3 linked regions of the Drosophila melanogaster genome follow. The protein of the gene in region 2 interacts with the protein of the main gene of each other region in a pairwise test. Each region holds a gene or a part of one and is shown on either strand. Other genes may lie near its edges.

The links. Proteins that work in one complex are often made in the same cells at the same time.
Region 1: the proteins of CG6660 (region 2) and CG13045 interact in a two-hybrid assay, tested with the Drosophila melanogaster proteins (one large-scale study listed by BioGRID).
Region 3: the proteins of CG6660 (region 2) and CG4586 interact in a two-hybrid assay, tested with the Drosophila melanogaster proteins (one large-scale study listed by BioGRID).

The regions. Positions count from the first base shown.
Region 1 is NT_037436.4:16,289,169-16,292,630, reverse strand, and holds CG13045 (uncharacterized protein), read left to right. Parts: upstream 1-1,680; 5' UTR 1,681-1,755; intron 1,756-1,812; 5' UTR 1,813-1,833; coding exon 1,834-2,397; 3' UTR 2,398-2,919; downstream 2,920-3,462.
Region 2 is NT_033777.3:22,921,797-22,925,042, forward strand, and holds CG6660 (uncharacterized protein), read left to right. Parts: upstream 1-1,555; 5' UTR 1,556-1,674; coding exon 1,675-2,061; intron 2,062-2,123; coding exon 2,124-2,555; 3' UTR 2,556-2,729; downstream 2,730-3,246.
Region 3 is NC_004354.4:6,968,010-6,972,808, forward strand, and holds CG4586 (uncharacterized protein), read left to right. Parts: upstream 1-1,908; 5' UTR 1,909-2,008; coding exon 2,009-2,967; intron 2,968-3,075; coding exon 3,076-4,150; 3' UTR 4,151-4,256; downstream 4,257-4,799. Other genes in the region: Setd3 (SET domain containing 3), read right to left, coding at 1-583; CG3040 (uncharacterized protein), read right to left, coding at 4,450-4,799.

The DNA of each region.
Region 1 (3,462 bases), on a different chromosome or scaffold from region 2:
AGCGAAAATAATTTTATGATTTGGTATACATTCAACGGTTTCCTCGAAACGAAAAACCATTTGAATAATATTTGTAGCATATCTTCCAGCTAACAGGTTGTGTGCAATCAATTGAGTGAATCAAATCAGCTGAAACTTCAATAGCTTGCAACAAAGTATTATTTTGGTGGTGGATGGGGGATACAAATTCGCACTTGTTGTTGCCAAACACGTGCAGCGATTTAGCACGCATTACATTACAATGCGGCTCCGTTTCAAGAGCACCTGTTGCCAGCGGCGGCGGAAAATGTGTGGAAAATTTGTATGGAAAATGGGGGAAAACGCGAAGCAACCACTCGAGGAGTAGAATCAGCTCAAAAGCTGGGCGTGTGCTCCACTTGGAACACAAAAGGAAAACAAAAAGAAAAACGTGCGTGGAAATTCCCGCTATCTGTGCCCCCTTTTTCGGTTCAGCGAAGGTGAACATATCGATTTCTGATTTAGCCACTTTGTTATGCTAATTTCCCCGGCTTTCCCGTCCTCGATTTTCCTCTGTTATTCTTTTTTTTCAGCGTCCTGCTCCTGTGTTGACAATTTCGATGAGCGCGTGTCGCGCATTTGGCAACCCAAATTTAATTGGCAACCCGTGCGGGAATTTCGCCTGTTTACGACAGATTCTGGACCAGATTTTATGGTAGCAATTCCATGCACACGTTTGCCCACTTTTGGGCGACTTGGAGGCGATGCACAAGACGCGGCCAACTTTTGGGCTTTTCCACGGCTAATTGAGAGCAACGAAAATGGCTTTGTTGGCGGCGGTAATAAATCGACTTTTAACTGGCGTGTGATATTTTGGCATTTATATTTCGGCAACGGCCATCAATCAGAGTCATAAGGCATAAAAAGGTGCCTGGAACGTGATCGCAATGGGTTTCTTGCAGCTCTTGCCACTTGCTTGCTTTTTTTTTTTTTGTCTTATATTTTATACTTTTTTGCAGCTGGTGGCGGCGGCAGTAAAAGTTGCTGCAGTGTAGCGCGTGCATTCGTAAATGTGATCCATGGCTTTGGGCGAATGAAGTGCACATGATAATGGCTTCTGAGGTGGAAGAGTTTAAGATGTTGATCCGAAGAGAGGGGTGTGTTAAGGTGCATATCTTATATCTGAGGAATTTATTTAGAAGATGTCTGAAATAATACATATGCTTATTAATTTTAACACCATCTATCCGACTACAGCAATTCTGAATTGGAATCTAATAAAAAATAAGATTGGATAGGTTGACTTCTTGACTTCAAACGGAGTCACAAAAGCATTCACATCTTTACTTTACTGATTCGGAGTTCTTAAACTGTTAACAATTTTTTTTTTTTCGGTAAAGTGTGAAGTTATACCTTCCACCTTAATTACCTCATTTGAAGTTTTGACCACCGACTTGTGGTTCGTACTTCCACCGAATTTCGCCTGCGGATGGGGCATTGCAAAACTTGTCGCATGCATTTGCCGCACGATTCGCTTGTCGATTGCACGTCGTGCGCAGATCCCTTAATGGAGTTTTTACCTTTCGGCTCCTCTAGTTTCCAGACCCCTCCTCCACTCCTCCTCCACCTACTCCTCCACCCACTAAATCAGCATAACTCGGATCGTGGTATATATAAACCTGCAATGGTCAGCCAAAATCGATTCATTTCGTGTGAAAGTGTCGCGGAGAAGTGACTTAATACGGAAATCGAAAACGGAAGAAAGCATAACGGGTGAAAATGTTAAATATTTCAAAAGCAAGTGAATCGAAAGTGACTTTTAACTGAAAAATAATAGTTTATCTTTATATATAGATACCTTTGATATGTGTTCTGATGTGTTTTGGTGCTCCAGCGCTTGGAAGTTTCCATCATGAACCATCGACGGTGGGCGTTCCCGTGGGAGTTCCAGTCCCAGTGCCAGTTCCTGTGCCTTCTCCATATCCGGTTCCATCTCCAGTGGCGGTACCTGCTCCAGTAGCAGTACCCGTTTCCGATACCGTCACCGTGCCAGCGGCCTTTAGTGCCCATCAAGGATTTGCGTACGGAGCTGTCGATCACTATGGTCCACCACCTCCGGCGATCTTTAAATATGCTACAACCTATGCGGCACCACAGCCAGTTATTAAGTACTCCCTTGGAGCTCCAGTGACCACTACCACCACCACCTACACCGGATTTGCAGCACCACCACCACCAGCCGTTCATTATGCTGCAGCAGCTCCACCACCACCACAGTTCATAGCCCGGTTTGCTCCTCCACCCACTGGCTATCAGTTTGCAGCTGCTGCCCCGTCATATGGCAGGTACAAGCTCCACTTTGGGTCACCACCTCATCATTCTCCGGCCGCCGTTTATGGAGCTCCCCCTCCTGTAGCATTTAGCACTCAGGGCTGGTAACTCGAGAAGCGCCAGCTGGGCTCTGGCTCATCATGCATAACTATGAATGATAATTTCCTCAAATTAGCAATTAATTAAATCTAAATAATGTTGTTATGTTTCGTATTATACGCGACTGGTGAATTTATGCGAAGAACGCGAAGCGTAGCGATTAAATTATGCTTATGTCAATACCCATAAATAATTCAGATGTTTTCATGGCTCGAAGTTATTTTTTGGCTCAGCCAATTTTGGCCAAAGGCGAGGCTTGACTTTGAGAGGGCCCAGAAAAATGAATAAATAATATAAATTTGCCGCTATTAAAGCTATGACTACGGATCAACTGACCTAAGTCAATGAATGAAAGAGGGAAATAGCGGAGCCATCCGTCAATTGGGTCAACAGTTTAAACTTTAAAGAGCCTTTGAGTTCACAGATAGACAGCTTGATTACACTACAAATATTGTTATTAAACAAATAAATCAAGTAAATTGTGTATTTCCGTATTTAAGTTTGAATACTAATATATTTGGGTGGCGGCTTAACATTTAGATTTAATGTTTAAGAAGACAGAACTGTATTTGTCCACTTTTTGGATATTAATTGGATCTTGTTATCTTGAATTAGAATACATAAGTATTTTCTTAGATACCTACATCTATAAGTCAATAAATCAAGCTATTACACTATAAACAGCACATTAGCTAAATTACTAGAAGTACAAGAACGCTATAGTCGAGTTCTTCGACTATAAGATACCCACTACTCATCTAGTGGGCGAACGAAATAGAAATTTTAACATTTTCTGTTGGCAAATCAATGTTAGTAAAATGAAAAAAAAAAAATGAATAAGTAAGTTTCTGGGTGTAATATTAAATTAATATATCTGAATTTTAAATAAAAACAGGAAAAGTTCCTCCCTTTTCTTTCAGTGTAAACCTCATTCGGATCCGCATTTATTGTGAGTGTATTTTACTATCTAAAGGTCTACGAGTAACGGGTATAATAATAATAAATTTGTATTTAACATTAATTCCGATAGTGAAAAGTGGCTCCCCATTTCTTTCAGTGTAAATTAAATTCGGA
Region 2 (3,246 bases):
CGGCTCCTCGCTCCTGAAGTCCCATCGTCCTGTCGTCCTGTAACTCCGAAAATGGCCGCCAATCGGAGGGGAACGTGCGACGGTTATGGCTTATTTGTGCAAATGAGCTGACGTCCATTACATTGTCCGTGGGGAGGTGAAATGCAAATGATTGTTTTGGCGCTGGCTGGCTCAATGTCTGCCGCACAACAAGGTCACCGCAGGAGCCCCAAGGACACTCTTATTCACATGTGAGTGTGTGTGTGTGTGTGTGGGCTGTACACATATCGCATCACTTGCGGCTTAAGGACACGCGAGTGAAAGTAAGTGAAATGGCCTCGCCCAACTTAGCCCACCTGGCCTTGTTTAATAGCCAATAAGGTAAACTTTTCGTACAGATCCTTGATTGATTCTCCTCTATAAATTGGCACATTTACTTATCGAAATAAACTGAAGCTCCTTAACTGTAAACTTTCGACCACAAAATGCTTGCCAAGTTTGCACGTTGCGCAAACAAATTGCACCTGCTTCAGGTTGATTAGCCACCTGCAGCCCATCTCCTTTGCTACTTTGCTCCTTTGCTCCTTTGCATGGCCCTCGGTTTGCGCTGCAAGCCAGGTCGTAAAACACTTTTGCCTATTTCGCTGAGTTGGCTCGACTGCGATCTCCAGCTCCTCTTCCAGTTCATCTAGCTCCTCCAGCTCCCGCTGCTCTTGCTGTTGTTTTTAAGAGCCATTTGTCCGATGCCCGCGGCTATTTACAGCCATTGTACAGACTTGGCGAATTTATCAAGCATGGCGGAGTCGCTCAGTGGGTCACTGGATGGTGAATGTTGGTGAACTGGATTCGGGATGCCGGATACTAGATGCTGCAGCTGACGTTACCGCCATTTTTCCGCTTTTCCTTCACTTCGCTTTTGGCTTAATTTCAAAACAGTTGCGCTTATATTGGCAGTTATGCTGCAAATTTATTGGCATGCTTTGTAAACTGGGTTAGTTGCATATATCTCGCAGCCGCAAGCTGCGAGCCAAACGATTAACGTTGAGTAACCCAAATTGATGTCACCACCCATCGACCGCAGCTAACAGCCCGCACCACCCACCGCCACCAACATTTGCCCGCTGGAGCATCATTTTTTCCCACTCAGCAAAGTTTCCGTAGCGGCTGGTTATAGCCCATAAATTCTCATACATTGTCAAGTAATAGCTAAACCCTGTTTACCCCCTGACAGGCACAAGTTCATAGAGATAAAGAAAAAATGTGGCACAATTTGGTCACAACTTTTTTAGAAAAGAGATAACCAATTTCTTTTCATAGTGAGATTGCTTAGGTCTTTTAAGAAATTTCAACTATGGAAAAGATGATCGGCACTTGATCTTGAAAGTGTGGTTTTATGCCCCGTTTTCCTTCAGTGTTTTTTGAGCGTAAACCCAAAGCAGTTCCAAGTTTATAAACCGGCGACAAAGAACGAGAATCTCTCTGGCAGTGCAACGCCTGACACGGGTTAATCCGGTATGCGTGGTGCTTCTCATTTAACGGTCATTAACATAGCCAGCCGGAATGCTTGGATAGACTGTGCTTTCGAGCAGTTCCGTTCAGAAGACTGAAGACCCTCGTGTCTCGTGGACTGCAAATCGCTTTCCGGCAGTTCGGCAGGGAGTATTTTTGAATCGAGGATCCAGAATGCGGCACAACATGGTGGCCTACCTGTACTGCCTGGTCAGGGATCTGTACGCCGAGCACGGAGATCCCCGAGTGGCGCACTTGCCCCTGCTGGGCAATCTATGGATCGTGCTGGCCATTGTGGCGCTGTATGTGGCCTTTGTGCTCCACTACGGACCACGTTGGATGGCGAACCGTGCTCCCTTTGAGCTGAAACGTGTGATGCAGGTGTACAATGTGGTGCAGGTGCTGGCCAATGCCACGATATTCGTCATTGGCCTGAGCAACACCTACCTCCAGCCGGGATACAGTTGGACCTGCCAGCCAGTGGATCACACGGACAGATCACCGGCCATGATGAAGACATTGTACGCCTCGTATGCGTACTACATGCTCAAGTATCTGGATCTGCTCGACACGGTTAGTTGGGGGCTATATACCGTCTATATACCTTCTATACCCATATACAAATGCATTCCCAGGTATTCATAGTGCTGCGCAAGAAGAACTCGCAGGTGAGCTTCCTGCACGTGTATCACCATGGCGGCATGGTCTTCGGCGTGTCCATCTTCATGACCTTCCTGGGTGGATCACACTGCAGCATGCTGGGTATAATCAATCTCCTGGTGCACACGGTGATGTATGCCTACTACTATGCCGCCTCATTAGGCGCGGTGAAGAATCTTTTGTGGTGGAAGCAGCGGATTACACAGCTGCAGCTGATGCAGTTTGGCTACCTCACCTTTCATTTCCTGCTCGTTATTGTCCGGAATCCGTGTCAGTTTCCCGTGTTCATCGCCTTCATCGGCTTCATTCAGAACATCTTCATGTTCTCCATGTTCTTCGACTTCTACTGCAAGACCTACATACGCAAACAGCGCAAATCGGCGGAGCACAAGCTGAAAGCCAGCTGAGCTGTACTGCCGTTGAAAATGAGGTTCAAGTTCGCGCCGCGTCATTTCCATATTAAATTGTGTAATAAGCTGGTCGGTCGCTTATGCAAATGGGCACCGATCGAACCCAAAATGCCTGGTATAAATAAACATTTCGGATTGTTTCCCAACCCCTCCGTTTCATCGCCACAAAATACATATCGCTCAATTGTTTTGCTTTTGTAATCAATTTCAATTTGCCAGCGGCTAGATTCGGAGGCTCCTTAAACTTTTCTCGAAAACTTCTTAACCGCCTGGGAAAATCGAAATGGAGCACGGAGAGCGAAGGCGGCGACAAGTTATGAAGTAAGTTAGCCGGGCATATCTTTTATTAAAGGGTTAAATGAAATATCGATGAAGTCGGCACCAGTTATGGCCGCCACGTGTTCCCGACCCACATTTCTCTATATGCTTCGGCCATGTGTCGCATGGGCCCCTGGGCCACCTTTTAACTTTCTGGCCAGCGTTGTTTTTTTCTGGCCCCCTTTTCAAAGCCAAAGAGTGGAAAAACCAGCTAGCACACCCACAGTGTTACCCCATGTTGAACACATTTGCCTAGAAGGCTGCCTCATTCATATTTTTTCCCCCTCTTTTTTTTTGTTTTTGCCATGGCATTTTTTCTTTGCCAGAAGTTTTACATCTGCTTTCGCTCCCAAAAAAAAAAAAAAAATGG
Region 3 (4,799 bases), on a different chromosome or scaffold from region 2:
CCAGATCATAGGCCAGGTTCAAGTGGGTGGCCTGCGTCATTTTGCCAAATAGGCGGCAATCGGAGTTGTTTTCCTCGGATAAGATGAGCTTCCGGGGCACGCTGAGCACCAGCTCATCCTTGGCCAACGGTCGGGTGGCCCGCAGACCCAGTTGGTAGCCGGGAAAGATGGCTATCTCCAGTCCCTCACTGTGAACTCCGCCATCTTTGGCCCACGCACTGAACGCCTCCACTTTGGCCAGACGGGTCTGATCGTCGGGGGAATCGCTGATCTGCGGACACACTGCTTGGCTGAGTGGCTCCTCCAGGATCATGATTTGTTTGAGCAGCTCCTGTAGCTGCCCGTACTGCTTCCATTCCTCGTTGGGATTCGCCGGTTGCTTTTCCACCAAGTCAAGCAGTTCCTCGACGAGCTTGTTTAGTTGGCTCCTCTTTTTGCCGTTTAAACTGGGCAACGAACTGGCCGCCTGCTGGTCCTCAAAATCCTCGACTGCTGTGCCGGATGCGGATGCAGTTACTCCGTTTTGTTGTGGCTGCTGTTGCTGCTGTTTTGTCTTCTTGTTGCGCTTCGTGTTCTTACCCATGGCGGTGCCGTTGGTGGGAGCGAGAGAGAAAGACAGAGAGAGAGGAAGACAGAAAGCTAAGCGGTACCGGCGGCCCAAAACAACAACAGCCAAATAAGGAAAATAAAGTCGAGAAATCTGCACGCGGGCGATCAGCTGGCCGGCAGTGTGGCCATTCGTCGGGCGCCACTAAATTACTCCGACAATTGGTCACACATTCGACGAGCTTTTATGCTGAAAACTTTTTAATAGGGGTACTCCTAAGCTTTTTTTTATTACAAAACTTATGTTTTCTTGTAAAATAAATTGTAATTCACGTTGCATTTTTGGCACATCAATAATATTATAATAATTACTCTTTATAGTTATTAAAATGGCCAGTGTTTTTTTATATTTTATGTTGCATTCTTGAAGAGCGGGAAATTTAAATTGAGAATTTGTCCTAAAATCCAGGTTGCAGAAGCTCGTATGTATAATAATATATTTATTTATTTATATAAATAAAATCGCTCTTTCCATGTCTTTTAGTTTCTATTTATAAACAATTTGACAATGGCCCATAGGGTTATCTTAGATTTTCTAAACGTCATCCAATTGAGAAACGTTATGTTGATAACAAGAAATCCACGAAATAAAAATGTTATTGTACGAAAAAGAAATAATTGTTTGTTGAGCTTTGTGGGTTTTTGCAAAACAAAAACAACAAGAAATATTTACGATTTTCTTATCTACGGTAAAAAAAACTTGAACTAAAAAACTAGGAGATAATGCCGCTCATCAGATGTTTACGCACTTTGTGCCATTTTTGGCTAGGGTGGACCAACACACAAATCAGCGTTTGAGTTAATAGTAAGAAACAAATTCCGTCCAAATATACAACCTAGGATACGAAATCTAAAACATGATAAGTGCATCTTGTAAGAAAGACGCAGTTTGAGAAACTTTCGACAAATACGGAATATGGTCCACCCTAAGGCGCTCAAGCAATTTGAGAGTGGCTCAGTTCTCAGTTCAGTGACTCCAATGCAGCAACAACGGCGGTTGGAGCACCAGCGGGCAGAGCGCGAAAGAGAGGCAGTGGTGGGGCTCCAAAGGCGTAGGCAGGATGGACCATCCAAAGGGGTTCCAGATCGCCTCTTCTGTATAAGTTATCCATAAATAGCTTATACACTGCATCCTTTATGAGTATAATGTGGTAAATGTATAAAGAATCCCGGTATATTAATTGGCAACTCATCTTTAATTTCGGATCACTGATAACCAACCATATTCCCCTGCTATCCCCGCCTTTGGTGACCTGGCTGCCATGTTTCGAGCTGCAGAACTGTTTCTTCCAGCCACCAACTTCTCAGTGCAATCGAGTCGTTCGAGCAGAGAAGTTGGGAAATCCCGTAGAAAAGTAAAACTCTAGGAAAAGAGAGATCGGGAAGGAGAGATAGAGCGATCATGTCTGTGAATGCGGATCTGCAGAGAGAGCGGGCGGCGGCCACCTTGGACAGCGAGGACTTTGCCCGCTGGTGGGCGGGTGGCTCTGGGCAGCTGGAGGAGCGCCGCGCCCTGGAAAGGCGTTTCTATGAGGATCCCGACTTCGCGGAGCCAGTGCATCCGAGCTGTCTGTCATACAAGGAGCGCTACGAACAGACCGTGGCCCGATCCACACGCTTCCTGGCCAAACTGCGCCAATGGCAGCGGGAGAAGCAGCCACAACTTCAGCTTAGTGTGAATATGCTGAGGGACTTTCGGCTGCTACTCTCCGGATCCCTGGGCACGGGCCTCTTCCAGCAGAGCTTCCCCCTTCGGGTGCATTTCTCCATGTTCATGACCACCTTGCTGAGCCAGGGAACCGAGGAGCAGCAGGCCCAGTGGCTCAATCGATCCTGGCACATGGACGGCGTCCTGGGCACCTATGCGCAAACGGAGCTGGGTCACGGCACCTTTGTCCGGGGCCTGGAAACCCGAGCCGACTACGATCCCATCACGCAGGAATTCATCCTGAACACCCCAACGCAAAGTTCATACAAGTGGTGGCCCGGCGGACTTGGTAATACCGCCAATGTGGCCATTGTGCTGGCCCAGCTATATGTGAAGGGCAAGCATTATGGCTTGCAATCATTTGTGGTGAGGATCAGGGACGAGAGGACACACGAACCGTTGACTGGAGTCGATGTGGGCGATATAGGACCTCGCCTGGGTGGCAATGGCGTTAACAACGGCTTTCTGGGACTCCGCGACGTGCGGATACCGCGCAATCAAATGCTGATGAAGAACGCCCAAGTCCTGACCGACGGCACCTTCGTCCAGGGTAGACCTCCGCTGCTGCTCTACGGCACAATGGTCTATGTGCGGGTAATTACCGTGAAGGATGTGCTCTTTGGACTGCTCCAGGCTGCCACCATTGCCACCAGGTGATTATATAGTTTCTGGGGATTATGTTTATCATAGCTGTTATTAAGCCCATAAAACACATTCAGCTCACCCAGGGTTCTTTAGATAATAATTATCATTATCTTTAGGTATTCCGTGGTGCGTCGCCAGAGCCGGATTAACAGCGATCAGCCGGAGGTCTCTGTTTTGGATCACATCACACAGCAGGCAAAGATTCTACCGCAAATTGCTCGAGGAGTGTCCTATCGCCTGGTATCCGATTGGCTGTGGCGCTTCTACGAGGACGTACTCCGCCAACTGGAGGATGAAAGCACGAAAGGACGCAACTCCCTGCCGGAGCTGCACGCCCTGAGCTGCTGCCTCAAGGCGGTGGCCACCGACGAGGCCAGCGAGGGAGTTGATCTGCTGCGCAAGAGTTGCGGTGGCCACGGATTCCTTTCCTCGGCGAATTTCGATAGCATCTATGGTCTGACCGCCGCCACATACACCTACGAGGGAGAGTACACAGTACTCCTGCTCCAGACAGCTCGTTTCCTCGTCCGGCAGTATGCGGATAGCTTAAAACGCAAGGTGCTGCCCTCCAGTGTCTCCTATTTGAGGGATACAGCCCGTTTGATTTGGGGCAAGAATCTGGTTGCGAATTGTGTGCGAGCGCTGGAGATTTCAGCCATGGAGCAGGTGCGTGATGCTTGGCAGACCCAGAAGATGCACCAATCCGGCAAGGTGAGTCCCGAGATGGCCAGCAATCTGGCTGGAAGGCAGCTCACCTCGGCTGCCATAGCCCATGCTCACGCATTCTTCACACGCAATGCACTGGAGCAAGTGGAAGCACTTCGAAAGAAGGGCGATCTTAGCCCGAATGTCTCACTCATCTTGGGCCAACTGGTTGAGCTTTTCGTCATCGATACATTCCTGCGACAGTCGGGATGCGTGCTGCGTTGGAACAACGGCATCACTGGCACCCAACTGCGCTTCGTGGAGCGTCGCTTTGAGGAGCTGCTGGCCAAGCTGCGACCCAATGCGGTGGCTCTGGTGGATGGATTCGATTTTCACGATCGTGTCCTGGGCTCCACGCTGGGGTGTCACGATGGCCGGGTGTACGAGCGTCTCATGGAGGAGGCACGCCGAAATCCGATCAACCAGGAGCCGGTCAACTCGTCCTTCCACAACCACTTGTTGCCCATGATGCGGGGAAAGCTGTGATGTGGGGCTGGTCTTTTGTTTTCTACATACGTATATGTTATTCACTAATTTTTGTATTGAAGTTGAATCATAACATTTTTTTTTAATAAAGGAAATAGGATTTCGCAATTGTTTGTTATTTTGCACTTACCATTTTCAAACTAACTTACTTGCTCGCCCTTGTTAAAGTTGTCTTTTTCCGATTTATTCGTATCGTTTTACACATTACACATATTGAATTAAGCTATTAAATTAGTTTACTCGGATAAATAAAGGCTGGGGTACACACAAAAAAAAAAGGGATTTGATCTGAATCGAGTCTAGAACATCTTCTTCCTGACCGCCGTATACCGCTCCATGTAGACATCGTAGCCATCGAGATCGGTGAACTGTTTCGAGTTGAACAGATTGCCGTCGACGGCCAGGTTGCAGATTTTCGAGTCCTTGAGGATCTTGGGTGTAAAGGCCGCTGCCTGAAGGCAGTTCTCCTCGAGCCGCAGTGTCTTCAGCTTGGGACAATCGGCTACTTCCTCCGCCAGCGAGGATATTTGGTTCTGGTTAAGGTTCAGTTCGGTCACAAACAGTCCGCCCACATCGGCGGGCACATCGGTGATCTTGTTCCTGGACAGGTCCAGGACATCCAGCTGCTTCAGACCGCACAGCATGGAGG